2 linked regions of the Medicago truncatula genome follow. The protein of the gene in region 2 interacts with the protein of the main gene of each other region in a pairwise test. Links are inferred from orthologs where the notes say so. Each region holds a gene or a part of one and is shown on either strand. Other genes may lie near its edges.

Region 1 (7,675 bases), about 7.1 Mb from region 2:
AACTACAAGTATGTTAATGGGAAAGCAGTAAGCAGGCCCCTAGTGCACCTTACCCCACTTGAGAATTGAAACATATTGTTGCAACCTAATAAAAGAATATCTAAATGTTGTTCGTTTTGTTTTATGGTGGTATGTAATGTTTTCTAAAGGGTACAAGTTTTGATATTACTTAATTATTTGTAGCATTCAGGTAATTGACATTTTAAAGGTTGGACTTCTGATATTATTTCAGAAAATTTCACATAGCTATCAATAAATATCAGTACAAGCCACAAAATGAAATGCAAAATAAGTTATAGGGTCAATAAATTCTTGCCTCCATGAATTGCACTATAAAATCTATGAGTTTTTGCTTCTGCATCTCCTCACAATGGTAATTTGTAATAAGGAAGCTAATATCATATCCCTGTCAAGAGAAATAACAAAAAATATGACTTTCTGATTTGCTATGTCTTGCATTAACGGTTGTCCAGCAAGAATCCTAACATTGTTAGCAAGGCAAATAATCCACCACAGTGAATTTAGAAAGACAAATACGAACCACTACTACTAAGTGAACCTGTTAAGAAATCAAAAGTGAATTATTTTATAAAAAAAACGTAGCATTTAATGTCAATGTCATAATTCAACGAATGTTACTATAAGAAAACTGAGGCTATGTAGAATGAACTCCCACACACAGCACAACCAACTACAAAGAAAATCGATCCATAAAAAACTTTATATTCATTGATTCCTGAACCGTTACTCTAAAGACACTCATATGTATATAAAATGGTGCTAAAGTAGAAGGGGAAAATAAATTAAATACGAGGATTAGTGGTAAGTCGACACTTCCTCACCTGTCAAGTGTATTGTGTGTGAAGAGGGTTTTCTCTAACTTTTTCAATCGAAGGTTAACTAGGAATTAGAAGATGAACAAGACGAGACTTGATAGTAATAGAGTATGTTGTATGCGTAAGCCTATGCTTGGCAATCACAAGGAGTTATTCATTCCATGTACAATCACGAAAACATGCAATATCTGAGGCAAACTCAACAAATATTTTTACTTTCTAGATTCAATGAAACTTCATACAAAGTTATCCCTCTGCCCTGCACCTTTATTTTAGCTATCACCAATATCTAAACATTACTTTATTTGATCGAAAAATCATCGCCAGACTTTAAAAGGAAACAAGAGCTATAAACCTGCACAGGCTTTCTCCTCAGTACTTGGAAAGCCTCAGCTCTCATGGACAAAAATCTAAGAAATTTTTTCGTCAATATGTTTTCAAGTTCATCAGCCTGCTTCACCTGCACAAGATGAATTAAAAATAAAATAAAATAAGAATAAGGAATTACGGACAACTAACAATGAATAGTGGCACTTCATGAGTAAATCTGAAGGTTGCTAACATATTCTAATTTTGATATAGTTTGCTTATCTGCTAATAGAATTAAATTGTGAATTATCACCACAAGTTAATTGAAGCACAAGATTTGTAGCCAATTTATTGCTACTTTGGCGCCTTAAAGATGCTCTTGTATCGGGAGAGAATGCAACAAACATCAAGAAAGGATGAATGTATCCAAAATATTATATAATTGACTAAATCACTAAAACTTATATTAAAAACTCTTCTACCATAATTCAACCCCGGTATGATCAATGAACCATTAGCGCTGTTATCATCTAAATTCACAAATCTGAATTTATTTAACTAAAGGATATAACTTGATAGATTTCAACACACCATCTAAGAAGACCTCTGAAAACTGATTGTACTAGACACATATATCTCTGCCAACAGACTCAGTTCCTATCAAATATATCATAGTAATAATGATGGTGCTATTAAAAAAAACAATTCTAGTGAAGAAAAAAGGGGCTGAATGTAACCGTTACATAGAATATAGACGCACTTTTCTGGCAAAACATTACAAAACCCATTTCAACAGTTGCATCCCATGTATATAGGTCTTACCCAATTACATTTCTAAGATCAGTAGTCCTAACTCCTAATACTAAAAAGAAAGGTACCATGTTGAAACCCCTTAAGGGTATCTTTGGACTAGTGCCACATGCCACATGCCACTTGCAGAGACCAATTTAGTGAGACTATAATGAATAAATACATGATATGAACAAGGGCAGAGACGAATTTCAGATGAGAAATAATTTCATATGACAAAAAACAAGAAAAAAGGTTTACCTTAAGACTTATCCTTAATGAATTGATAGAGGTTTCTATTAAGCATTTTTCAGCCTCGTTACGGCATATCAAAACCTATAACAACAACAGCACAAAATTTTCAATGAAGCATTGATGCAACAATAATAATTTCCTTAAAGCATACATCATTTAGAAAGGATTACATGTAAATGAACGTGATATAGTGATATGATATAAGATGGGGTCTTACAGGATTTAGAAGGAGTTCAGGACTGGTCCTGCAAAAAAAAAAAAAAAAAAAGGGAACGTCAATTCAATTAAGTTAGTTAGGTGAAAATCTTAAACATAGCATAAGCACTGATCGATGTAACTATAATGATGTTAATCGGTGTAAGTGAGAAAATGCTTACTTGAGTTCAACCTCGGGTTTGTTATGTCTTTCAACTTCTTGACAAGGAAAATTCTGCAATTACGAAAATAGGATTGATGATCGATCGGAAACAAAATGAATGAATATAGAAAATGGTGTGAAGAAGCAGAGCTGGTGAACCTGGAGGCACATAGCAGCATCGAGTGTGTTGCGAATGCAGGTTAAGTATAAGCGTAATGTTGTGCTACCCTGAAATCAAAAACACATGAATTGAGAAGATGAAAAATTGCGATGATGAAGAACAAGATTCAGTGTGTATCGTACCATTGCTTTGGGTCTGAATCTGACGAATTAGAAGTTGAAGTACGGTTTAAGCGAGTGAATGAATCAAATCAAATCAAATCAAATATAGAAAGGAAAAAGGGATCCGAATCAATCAACGAATCTCACCTGCTACTACACTTTTCTTTGTCTTACCCGCTTTATGTTATATATTATTTATTCATCACAATCACAAAAATCATTTTTTACATTTTTTTTAAACAAATAAAAGTCGCTGGTCAAAAATTCATATTAAGATAAAAAAGTAGATTTAAATATCATTTTAGACTAATTCATGTAAGTTTTCTTATTTCTTGATTTTCAATTTTTTTTTTGTCAACTATTTAGTGGTTGAAATTCACCTTTTTCAAACTGAATAAATGGAATGTCCGAAATTTAAACCTCAACCCCTACATATAATAAACAATGCATAACCCTACCAACTGAACTATACTCACGGTGCCTCTTGATTTTCAACTCTAATGTCATCTTATTTCGCAATATGGCATTATTATAGTGTGTCATGCATAACATCAGAGCCTGAAAACAACAGTTTTTATGTGTTACATGGATTAATCCAAATAAAAAAAAACTTATAATACTAAAAAAGACGTTAAATTACATAGATATTTTCAATCAAAAACAAATTTATTTTCCAAAAACTAATGCATTATATACAAAGGATTTATGCATATGTAACAAAATTAATATGCCAATCAACAACTATTAATTTGTCAGCAACCAGAAGGTGCAACACGGTAAACTATTAAGAATAATTTCATCAAAGAGATAAAGAAATATATTTCAAGCAGACGAGTTTGGTATAATTATGAATAGATTAATGATATTTAAACATCCATTTGAAATAACTTTTGTAACAACATTTTTTTTTTCACTGCCAAAAACAATAGAGAAAAAAAAAAAAACATAGTATATGAATATAAAAGAATTGTCAATAAATGGTTGTATAAATATCATTTCTCTTTTTATATTATTCAAATTAACTATTTTTTACTTATGTATTTAAAATAAAATATACAAACAAAATCAGTAAAATTTACCCCGGGTCTCTAACTAGTATCATAACTTGTTAAAATAAAAAACCTAGTATCATATCGTAAAATTCATTCAAAGTACAAAGTATGACTTGGAGCAGAACTATCTATTGAAAAGAAGGCATAAGAGATTTTTGGCCGACTTTTTTTATCTTTTCAATTATACCATTGATTTAAGAGTTTTTCTATTCACATTCTATATATTTTTGATTACACCTAATTTTTTAAAAAAGTTTTTGATAATACCAAAATTGTCCTTTTATATAAATTTTCTTAAAATTTTGATTTCATTCATTGTCACTCTAAAATTTCACTTTCTTTCACCCACCAACGATCAAACAATCCTGATGTTCAATTAATCTCTTTGGAAGATTAAAGAGTGAATCAAAACATCTTTCATTCATACTAGCTTGTATATAAATAAGTGAATTTTTTTTTCTTTTTCAATAACGCTGGTTTCAATTTTATTCTTCTTGTTCAACTGCACTGTACGACAGTTTCAGTTTTACATTGTTGATGTTAACTTAAATTCAGTTTAAGTAGGTTCATGTGAACTTAGTTTAGATAATCTACTTAAACTCAATTTACATAACCTACATAAACTGAGTTTACATGATCTACTTAAAACTGAGTTTAAGTATGTACACTTAAACTTAGTTTACATGACCTAGTTAAAATAAGTTTACATGTACATACTTAAACTGAGATCACGTAGAATCATTGAACAAGGTTGAACTTTTAAATACACTTAAACTCGGTTTGCATGACTTACTTAAACTGAGTTTAAGTATGTACACTTAAACTCAGTTTACATGACCTACTGAAACTAAGTTTGCATGACCTACTTAAACTGAGTTTAAGTATGTACACTGAAACTAAGTTTATATGACCTACTGAAACTAAGTTTACATGACCTACTTAAATTGAAGAGGGATTTTAGGGTGTAACCCAGATAAAAAGATGCTTTTTGAAAATTAATTTTATGGAAGGATAATTTTGTCATTTTGGAGTGCAACCAGGATTAAACATGGTGTAATTAGAAAAACTCTTAGATTTAAACTATAGCAAGTACAATTTTACTTTTTTATATATTATTTAAATCTTTAATTAAAATATTAGTTAAATATCATTGTAATAGAAGCCACTTCATTCACACGGAAGAGGCATTCACAAGAGCCTTTCCTCTCCAATTTATGTTTTTTTTTCTTCTCACTATTACAAAGTAGTGTGCTACGTAATAGCTATACTCCAATATAACTTATTTGATAATTTCACATTACAATTTGATCCAATGTCTAAACAAACTATTATTCTTTGAAGAGTGGGGAGATGTGAATATACGCATGTTTCACCAAGCACAAATTGATAGAAGGCACATGAAGGAAAAAAAAACTAAAAAGTACGAGAAAAATAAAAAGTTGCTACAGCCTCAAATTTAGAGTCATTTACAAACATTGGATTTCAAACACTAAATTAGAGATACAAAAGCAAAATGCAAAAAATGCGGGGAACAAAAACCCTTAGACTGACTGTACACGAAACTTATTGGCAACATAGAGCAAATGGCTAATGTTTGTCGAGGGGTAATTTTGTAGCAGCTTGAGATTTGAAGTGAAATCACCCGCTAGGAGGCGCTTGCGAATGAGAATTAGCATTGCACAACACACCCGGAGAAGAGTCTCCTGCAGAACATTGTGTCAGTTTCCCAACTTAAGTTATTTTAACAAAAAAGATACATACATTACCCAAAATCATTAACTTGCTGATCTACCATCACCAGTTCTATATACAGTTTAAGAAGCGACAGGAATTTCAAGTAGCAAACAATAGTCACTAAAAACTGGAGACTTACGAAACACGCTCACATGCACAAAAGAAAATGAGGAAAAAAAAACGTGTTCTAATGTCCCGATAATATGGCCATATCTTCCATCTTTTCTTCACAATCGGGATCCTCTAAAGTGGATTAAGAGTAGCAATGCAAAGTGAAACACTAATGAAAAATCAACACCAGTATGAGAAAATTGACACTAAAAGTAACTTCGCAACTTCAAATCCAATCTGACTTATCATTTCCATCAAAGAAACATGAGCCATTACTGAAATGCTACATGCCAATCAATTATTTAAAAAGTAAATTGGAATAAAATTGTACCTGTGGACCCTCTGGGTCACCTAAAAGAGTGTCCCAAATATGAAGACTGTCAGCAAAATTGAATTCCTGAGTCAATAGGAGAGTGATCCACCTAAATGCATAGAATTGGGGATTGATCTGACATTCAAAAGAAGAAAAGTGAGCCATTACTGAAACACTGTTTAATAGCCAATAGTAAATATATGGTTGAATAATTTGGCAAGCATGCAAACAAAATTGTAAACAGACTAATTACCCCTCCCTGTTGCTTAATTGATGGATAAACATAAAAAGGTATTAACAGACAAAAACTAATGGTCAAAATAACAATTCTAACACAGGAAGTAATATCATCAAAGCAATGAAGCAGGAAAGAGCCCGCATTTTTGTATATATTCCATGTTAGTTTATTTAACAAATTTAATAGAACGGAGCAGTGCACAAACACCACAATCAATTGCATAACAGTATATACCACAATGTGCGAACGAAAAAATAATTAGCTATATCAAAAACTATATATAATAATTTAAAATAAATGCACAGCCTACTCAATATATTTCCAAATGTAAACTAAAAGCAAAACTGTAACAATATATTAAAAACTCTTACTTTGGAAGTGATCTCAAGATGACGCCACAACTCTTCATCATGTTTTCTTAAAAGCTGTGACAATTTTGTAATAGTTGAACGGATTCCCACAACACTATTGTCTAGTTGTTGAACAAAGTTATCTCGCAACCCACTCAATAGCTCAACAAAACAAAAGAATGCATCAGCTTCGGCGAAGGCCTGCATATTGTAATAAGGAGCTGTTAAGCACAATAAACCAATAATAAAAGACAACATAAATGCACCATAAACATACATGACTCCTTATTACTAACAATAATTTTTTCTTCACATTCCCTTCCCGTGATCATACATCATAGCAAAATTTCTTGTCTAAATTCCCGTGAGCAATGATACCTTTATACTGATCACACCTAAATTTTGATCTGTCATCTCTACCCCCCATTATGGCTTCCCCTTCAATTTATGCATACACTTGGAAATATCAACCAGTGGAATGAGGAAACAGAAAACATGAAATTCTATGTGTGGAAAAGGTAAAGAATTACAGGTATGCATATGGTGCTTCTGATTATCACGGGTAAGCACTTTTTAAACAGAAATTTCAAAATCAATGTTACACAAATTATTGTTAAAGGTTCCTAGGAAAATATGTAATTTAAATTAATAAGATTTTACGCAACAAAAATATAATTAATTAAATGTAAAGGAGACTACAGGTGGACTTAGCAAAGCATGGATTACAAAAAGAGGTTAACAAGACATTACAAAAAGAGGTTAACAAAACATCAGGGTCGTATGTAATATTCTTCTCAATGATGGATTATAAACTGAGAACTAAGAGATTACAAGTCAAAAGGATTATAAAAACAAAAATATAATTAATTAAATGTAAAGGAGACTGCAGGTGGACTTAGCAAAGCATGGATTACAAAAAGAGGTTAACAAGACATTACAAAAAGAGGTTAACAAAACATCAGGGTCATATGTAATATTCTTCTCAATGATGGATTATAAACTTGAGAACTAAGAGATTACAAGTCAAAAATATATAATATACTCACTG
Region 2 (7,196 bases):
TCTCCGGTATCTCTTTCTTTCTTAGATTCTGTTTTTTCTATAGAACCTCCTCTCTGTTATTAAAGTTCCCTTATATTTTGTATAAATAAAAGTTGACAAGGAACAATATTAAAGCTAAAAGGAAGTCACCCATGCATCTAGGATTGTTATGGATTACTGAACTACTTCTTTGAGTACAAAAAACAATATGAATAAAATACCCCAAGCAAGGATGAAGGTTTCAGTAACAGAAAGTTGCATATTCAACTATCATACCTGAGGAAAAACAAAAAAAGACTCCTTTGGTCGATGAACAAGAGCAACAAGTGGATCCATATCCGGAGCAACATTTCTAGAAGCAAGGTGTTTTAAAATTACCCTTAGTGGTGCACCAAGGACGACCTCCCTTACTGATGCTACTTTTACCAAAAGTGCTTGTCTTTGCTCTGCACAAGATCAACATCGCCAATTGTCAAAGAACAGCATCAACAACAAAATAATTTAACTTATAAATTTCTCTTTCTTAAATAAAACCAAAGATGGAGTGACGAACCAGAATGAAAAAACACAGTTTCCAGAAGAAAAGAAAAATTTGGGCATTTAGATTTATTAGCAAAACATGTCGAGTCTTCTTGAAAAAAAGTATGATAAGTATTAAAAGTTTTGAAATTTGCCAAAAATATTTGGTTCAAGAGATCATCACACAAAGCACAGAGTTCATAAACAAGTTTATCCCACAAACTATGATTTTCAACAAAAGTCTCATTAAGATTTTTCTCTCCGAGTAATCATAGAAACCTTGGCCAAGAAACCAGAGTTACAGGGAAGAAGAGCAAGCTAAATAGTTATTTCCATTTGGCTTTTCTACAGTAGTTAGGGTTCCACAAATAGAGAAAGAAAAACCGTATGTAGGTTTCTGACTTCTCAAAGAATTTTGGGAAGTAGGTTCAAAATCCATCTTAATAAACCAGGGCATTCACTGAGAGAACAAATGCCTTAAAAGGAATGGGAGATGGAGACAGATGACTGCTGGAACGAAAGCAGGACAATCCATCATGTAGAATGATACTGGTTTCACGGTGAATGGGTTCAAGGCAAGCGACGCAAGAACACCAAATGCCAACAGAGGAATTGGTGCATTGTAGGGCATGAGAAATTTGCTGACTTTCAATTTCTCAACTGACCAATGACTCCTTTAATGGTGGTTGGTTCAAATAGAAGTTCTACTGGACCAGATGCAGAACCATGGGACTAAGAGGCAAACCAAGTGGAAAATGGTCTACTTACTGAGAAACGTTAAGAAAACTCTGGAGAGATAAAAAGTTAAATTGATTGAGAATAAAAATGCTATCTTTTATTTCATGTAAACGAAACTACAGAAACTTGAACATAGTTATTAATCTCTACTGCAATTTCAATTAAGAACCATTATCCATCTCTGGGTTACACATCAAATAATATTACTATGAACTAAAACAGAAAAAAGCTCAGATATTGACAATCCAAAGCACATGTAAATCATATATGCAAAATTGAGAATATCAACTTAGTGCTTCAATTATCAATTTATATTGAAATACTATCTAATATCTATAGCAAATGTAAATCCCTGAAACCAAAACAGTGGAAAGAATATACTGTAGCAATGAAAATGCATTACTAATCGGTAGTTTTAATGCATTAGAAAATACAGAAGCTATAAGTTCAGCTAAAGACGAAAAAACTTTTCATAGCAAGGGAAATTCAAAGTTACGGTAACATCCTATACTAAAAACCCTGATATACCTTGATTTGCAGGAACCTTTGAGAGATTTATCTTCAATGTGAGGTTAAAGCCATCCCTTGGAGGATCAAGAATTTGCACAAGACTGCCATATGCAGCTTTGATTGCTTCAATGGCTCCAAAAGGAAGTCCACATACAAAAATAGTTTCCGAAGATGGAGTAGGCAACGATACAGATAGCAAGAAAATATTAGGATTCTTCATTGACACCTACAATTATTTTTTAGCTTGATCAAATATGCAACCCAAAAGTGTCAAACTCAAATTATCTACATTACTCAGTGTTTGTCAATCGTGGATCGCATAAAATAGGGGTTTATTCAAATTCCTCTATAGCGCCTCTATTTGACAACATTTTGGGCATGTTTCAATTGTGAGACTGTTTGGTAGAGTTTATGGAAACAATTTTTGACAAGTCCATAAGCTGTTTTCATTTCAAAAAGGGAGCTTAATGGGATTTGAACAAATCGCTATTTAATGAGATAGACTATTTATGATATGTTTGAATCGACTTGTTTGAGTTTATCTACTAGTATATGCATTTAGGAGAACTAAGGGAAACAAACTCGTGACATGTTCATAAGCTGTTGTCTCCAAGATAGCTTATGAAAACAACTTACAGTTTATACTAAAACAATATAACTAACTTAATTTTATCTTCTATTATAGAAAGAGCTTATAAGTGTTTGTTATATAAGCTTCAAAATAAATTGTTTATGGAAACAAGTTCATATCATAAACATAAATAAGCGCTTATCATGATAAGTGTAGCAGGTGTTCAACAACATTGACTATACGGCGTTTATGATAATAGTAATAATAATCGTGTTAACAAACATTGTTAGTACCTGAATGTGATATCTGACATCGTCAAATTCAACCCAGTGGTGATCGAGTTCAACACCTTTTTCGATACTGAAACAGAAACAGAAACAGAAACAGAAGATATTAACGCAGTTGAAATGAAGGAGTAGCGAAATGAAAACGCATGCGTTTTAGTAACTAACTTTTGAAGGCGATTCAAAAGAGTCTGAAGCAGAAATCTAGAATGGGACTGGAGGAGTATCATCGATGATCCTGACCCTTTCCGCTTTCTTCTCTTCTCTTCTCTTCTCGTGTTTCGTTTCAACAGTTTTTGATGATGATGATGATTATGATTATGTGTATTATTACACTCACTCAGATCCAGACCGATTCTTTTCTTCCACTTACAGATTTTCATTCATTCATTTTTCTCAATCATAATAATCACATCACCATATTTTGTTTCTTTTCATTCTATTTTTTATTATTATATTTATTATTAATAAGATTAATTATTGAAATTCACCACGTACTATATGTGAAGTCCAAAAATGCTACTCAGAGGTTGAATTTTTTCATAATTTTTGTAGGCATGTTTACAACAAAGAAATATGCATTACACAAAAATTTAGAATTTTTCAACTAATGACAAATTAATTATGAATTTATAAAGCGTCAAAAACTCAAAGAACAAAATGATGAAAACTCCGACCTAAAAATTGAATTTTAAATTGATTGTTTGCAGAGACATCTAAAGAAATACATAAAAAGAATTTGCAAAATTTTGTAGCATTTCAAAGATGTTTAATTTTTTTATTTTTCAACCAAAACGTGCGAAATTGCAATTTTGTTATGAGTAAATGTATACTCACGGGTCAAATTTCTTTCTCTAATTTTCTAAGCATGTATATAACATCATAAGAACTTTCCTCGTGAATTTTTAGAGTTTTTAAACGAGATACGAATTAATTATAAAAAATTCATAAGGAAATAAAAATTCATAATAAATCTGTCCCTCGTCAAAAATTACGATCTAGTTCAACTCTTTACACATGATTCTTATAATAGAAATGAAATCACTCAAGTGGTATTTTTGTATAACCTTTCCAGGTTTGAAGCAGCACCATTAGTAAATAATATCAAACAAGATAATAAGATAAATGTTTATAAAAAAAATCACAAACATACATGCTAGTGGAATGTTTATGGACTTGCTGCAAGTTTGACATGTTACAAAACATACCCAACTTTTGTTCAAACTTTACCTTCAAAATTATTAGCACAACAGTTCCAGCCACATCCTTGAACATTCATAATTGAGGAGTAGAAAACCGATAAACGGTAGAGCCACATTTTTCAAGTATTTGGTGTAATTCAACTCTTGCATCAATCTTATAATAGAAAAGTCATCACTCAATTAGTATTTTTGAATAACCTTGCAAGTCATTTGCAGGTTTGAAGTTGCGTCGTAAATGTAAATAATATCAAATAAAACAATATGATAAATATTTAAAAAAGGTTTTATAACATAAATGAACAACTCACATCGTTGAAATTCTTCTTGTTATTGTTTTCAATTGTCTGGCATGCTATTCCGGTTGAAGAGCATGTGGCTTCAATGTTAGTTATGTTTTTGTGTGAAATAATTGATACTCGCGCGTGCGTAAAATGAGAAGTCTTCTCAGTCGTCGATAACAAGCAATTTGGATAGTATAAGATTGCGATCCACGTCCAAATGTAAACAGTAATGACAACAGTCGATAAAAAATTTAACGGTCATAGATTTTGATCCGAGTAAAATCCTTTAAAAGTGAAGAAAAACTTAGTGTGCTATTATTTACCTGTTTTTGTTTGTTTTTGCAGTGCTTTTGTATTTTTATTTTCGTAATTTATTTTTTATATAACTAGATAGATTTATTTTGTCGTGAACAAAGACTTATCTTTTATTTTTTATATAACTAGATAGATTTAATATAATTTTTATGATTTAAAATTTTATTATTTTTAACACTTAATCTACTCTATAAATCTATATATAAAAACAAATGTCTTGCTAAAAGTTTAAACTGCCCATAACCCACTAAAATTTTACAGTTGTTTTTTACAAGTGCTTAAGGGTAAAATATGTAATCTACTACATATATATATATATATATATATATATATATATAAATTTGTGTTATTTTTGTTAGAAACAAATTGAAATCAAATTTGTGTTATTTTTGTTAGTAACAAATTGAAATCATTGATAGTTATTAGTTATTGGATAACAAGTGGTTAATTATTGTGGTTAATTATTGGTTTTTTCATATTATTGAGGTAACTATAGTAGTTTATTATTAAGTTATAAGTCATTTGAATTAACTTATCACAAACCGCTATAAACTTGAATAGAAATAACAATTATCAAAAGATATTTTTTAATTATAAACTACTATAAGACATCCATTCAAATTTATGACTAAGCAACGAGTCAAAATGGGCTACCCGGCCGTTTCGGGCCGAACGGACTGCAGGATTTTTAGGGTCGGGTTAAAAATCCTGGTTTAAATACAGGTTGTAATAATAGAGCCCGAGCCCGGCCCTATACGGGTTCTCGGGTCAGCCCGCACGCACATTTTTTAAAAAAAAAATCTTTTAATGATCCTAATTACTAACCGAACTTGCACAAGTTAAAAAAACATGATCAGATTGCATAGCTATATGCACATAATTACACAGTTTATAATCACACATAGCATATTAACATAGCTATATAATTAATGAAACTCAATCACTCAAAAAAAACTTAGATATCAGATGAAGATATTCATCGTATTATGATCAGCAGTTGTTTTCACAACTCATAATTGGCGATGTTGAGTTGAAATAATAAAGCATATAACAGAAGAAAAATAAAACTTGTATTTTTTTTTTAGAGGATAAATCTTATATTTTGACGACTTAACACTAAATATTTAATGTCTATAAAAATAGAAAACAATAAATATCAATACCATGAATAAATTTAAGAAAGAAAAAGCAAGCCTTTTTTCCACTGCGAATGATAAATATGATTTCTAACTTCTTGATCTTTGAATGATATTTTCAAAACAACAGGATTTGAAGCTCTAACGTCCACTATGGCAACTTCTGTAGTCTCCCATATAGTTTAACTTTTTCTTTTTCCCAGGCTGCCCGTAGCCTAAATGGGCAACCAGCTTTTTCGGACCGGGCTAAAAAATCCTGAATTTATTCGGGCTGCAATTTTTAGGTCCAAGTCCTACGTTTTATTCGGGCTTTTGGGCCGGCCCATTCGACCCGACCCATTTTGATAGCTCTAAAGAGCACGACGTTTTTTTCGTCACCAGCGCACGAAGATCAAATACTAGGCTAAAGATACTTCATAGTAATGATATAAGCTCTCTTATTTACTTTCTTTTGGTACAAACTTCCTCTCAATTTTAATTTGATATAAGAAGACCAATTTTACTTGCAGATGACAAATCTTTGATTTACATATATGGATAATTGGCTTCTTGATGTCAAACTTAATATACAACACTTTTGAATTTTTTTTACGCATAATTATCAGAAGATTCATCGTTGTATTGAAAGTTATTAATTATTATCATATAGATCATGTTTACAAAACTTGACATTAGTAAAGTATCATTTAATATGCTAACAAGTTGCATCAAAATTAACATCTAAAGAACTTTTATCAAACGCCACATGAACACACATAGTCATGTACACATCTTCACATAGATTCTCATAATCAATTCACGTCTCACATAGGTTCATATGTATGCAATGTTCTAGTTTGACTCTACATGCATGTGGTACCAAGTTTTGGAGGTCGGAGTTATGTCACCGAGCGATCCACCATCATTAAATAATTGGAGGTATATTACAAATTAATCCACCCGTCATCAAATATCCATCATTAAATAGGAATGACAATGATGATAATGTAAACTCGACAATGCATGATCCATACACAAACAAATCATTTCATCATCAACATTTACTCCCATAAATAATTTAACATCATCTTAATATTCACATCACCAACATCAATAAAACACCATCACTTCGTTTAGGCAATTTGCATCTTAGATAATTCGTCAGTTAGGCTTTGATAAATTTAATTATTGAAAAGAAATGACTACTTTGCCCTTGACCGATAAAAGTGCCGCCGTAGTGGTGGAGGAACAACAATTTTGTACCTGATGGAAACGAGACGAATGCGAAGATTCGTGAGCCATCAAAAACCCAACAGCAGAACTCTTCTCCCTCTTCACGCTCCTTCTTCTTCCTCCTCTCATCTCTCCAACACTATTTCCTTCTTCTATTGCGATTACAAATTCATCTCTTTCAATAAACCTCTCTACACATTCGGTCGCAAACATGCCAACTTTTTTAAACTCTGGTTTTCTATTGGCCTTGGTTTCGCACTTTCTGCTATGCTCGCTGTTACGCTGGTAACAATTTTTATCAGTTTGTAATTGGTAATTTATTTTGTTTTTATTCAATTTGATTTGATTTGTTGTTTTTTGTTTTAGATTTTGGTTTGGGAGGTTGCAACGGCTTTGAATATATGTGGAGAAAGTAATAAAGTTCGAAGTATTGCTAGTGAAATGCTGTT

Evidence for each region. The genes of interacting proteins can lie anywhere in the genome.
Region 1: the proteins of actin-related protein 2/3 complex subunit 2A (region 2) and actin-related protein 2/3 complex subunit 4 interact in binary tests that used the Arabidopsis thaliana proteins (3 or more experiments, as listed by UniProt). The link is inferred for Medicago truncatula from reciprocal best matches to the Arabidopsis thaliana genes DIS2 and ARPC4.

Annotation. Positions count from the first base shown.
Region 1 is NC_053049.1:39,402,718-39,410,392, forward strand, and holds the start of actin-related protein 2/3 complex subunit 4, read right to left. Parts: upstream 3,018-7,675; 5' UTR 2,854-3,017; coding exon 2,851-2,853; intron 2,776-2,850; coding exon 2,707-2,775; intron 2,620-2,706; coding exon 2,567-2,619; intron 2,435-2,566; coding exon 2,407-2,434; intron 2,271-2,406; coding exon 2,196-2,270; intron 1,297-2,195; coding exon 1,192-1,296; intron 407-1,191; coding exon 317-406; intron 1-316. Other genes in the region: TBC1 domain family member 13, read right to left, coding at 5,423-5,584, 6,058-6,174, 6,649-6,828, 7,674-7,675.
Region 2 is NC_053049.1:32,347,570-32,354,765, forward strand, and holds the start of actin-related protein 2/3 complex subunit 2A, read right to left. Parts: upstream 3,006-7,196; 5' UTR 2,985-3,005; coding exon 2,770-2,984; intron 2,678-2,769; coding exon 2,611-2,677; intron 1,973-2,610; coding exon 1,765-1,972; intron 426-1,764; coding exon 256-425; intron 1-255. Other genes in the region: membrane-bound transcription factor site-2 protease homolog, read left to right, coding at 6,781-7,032, 7,114-7,196. UniProt on the Arabidopsis thaliana protein: Functions as actin-binding component of the Arp2/3 complex which is involved in regulation of actin polymerization and together with an activating nucleation-promoting factor (NPF) mediates the formation of branched actin networks.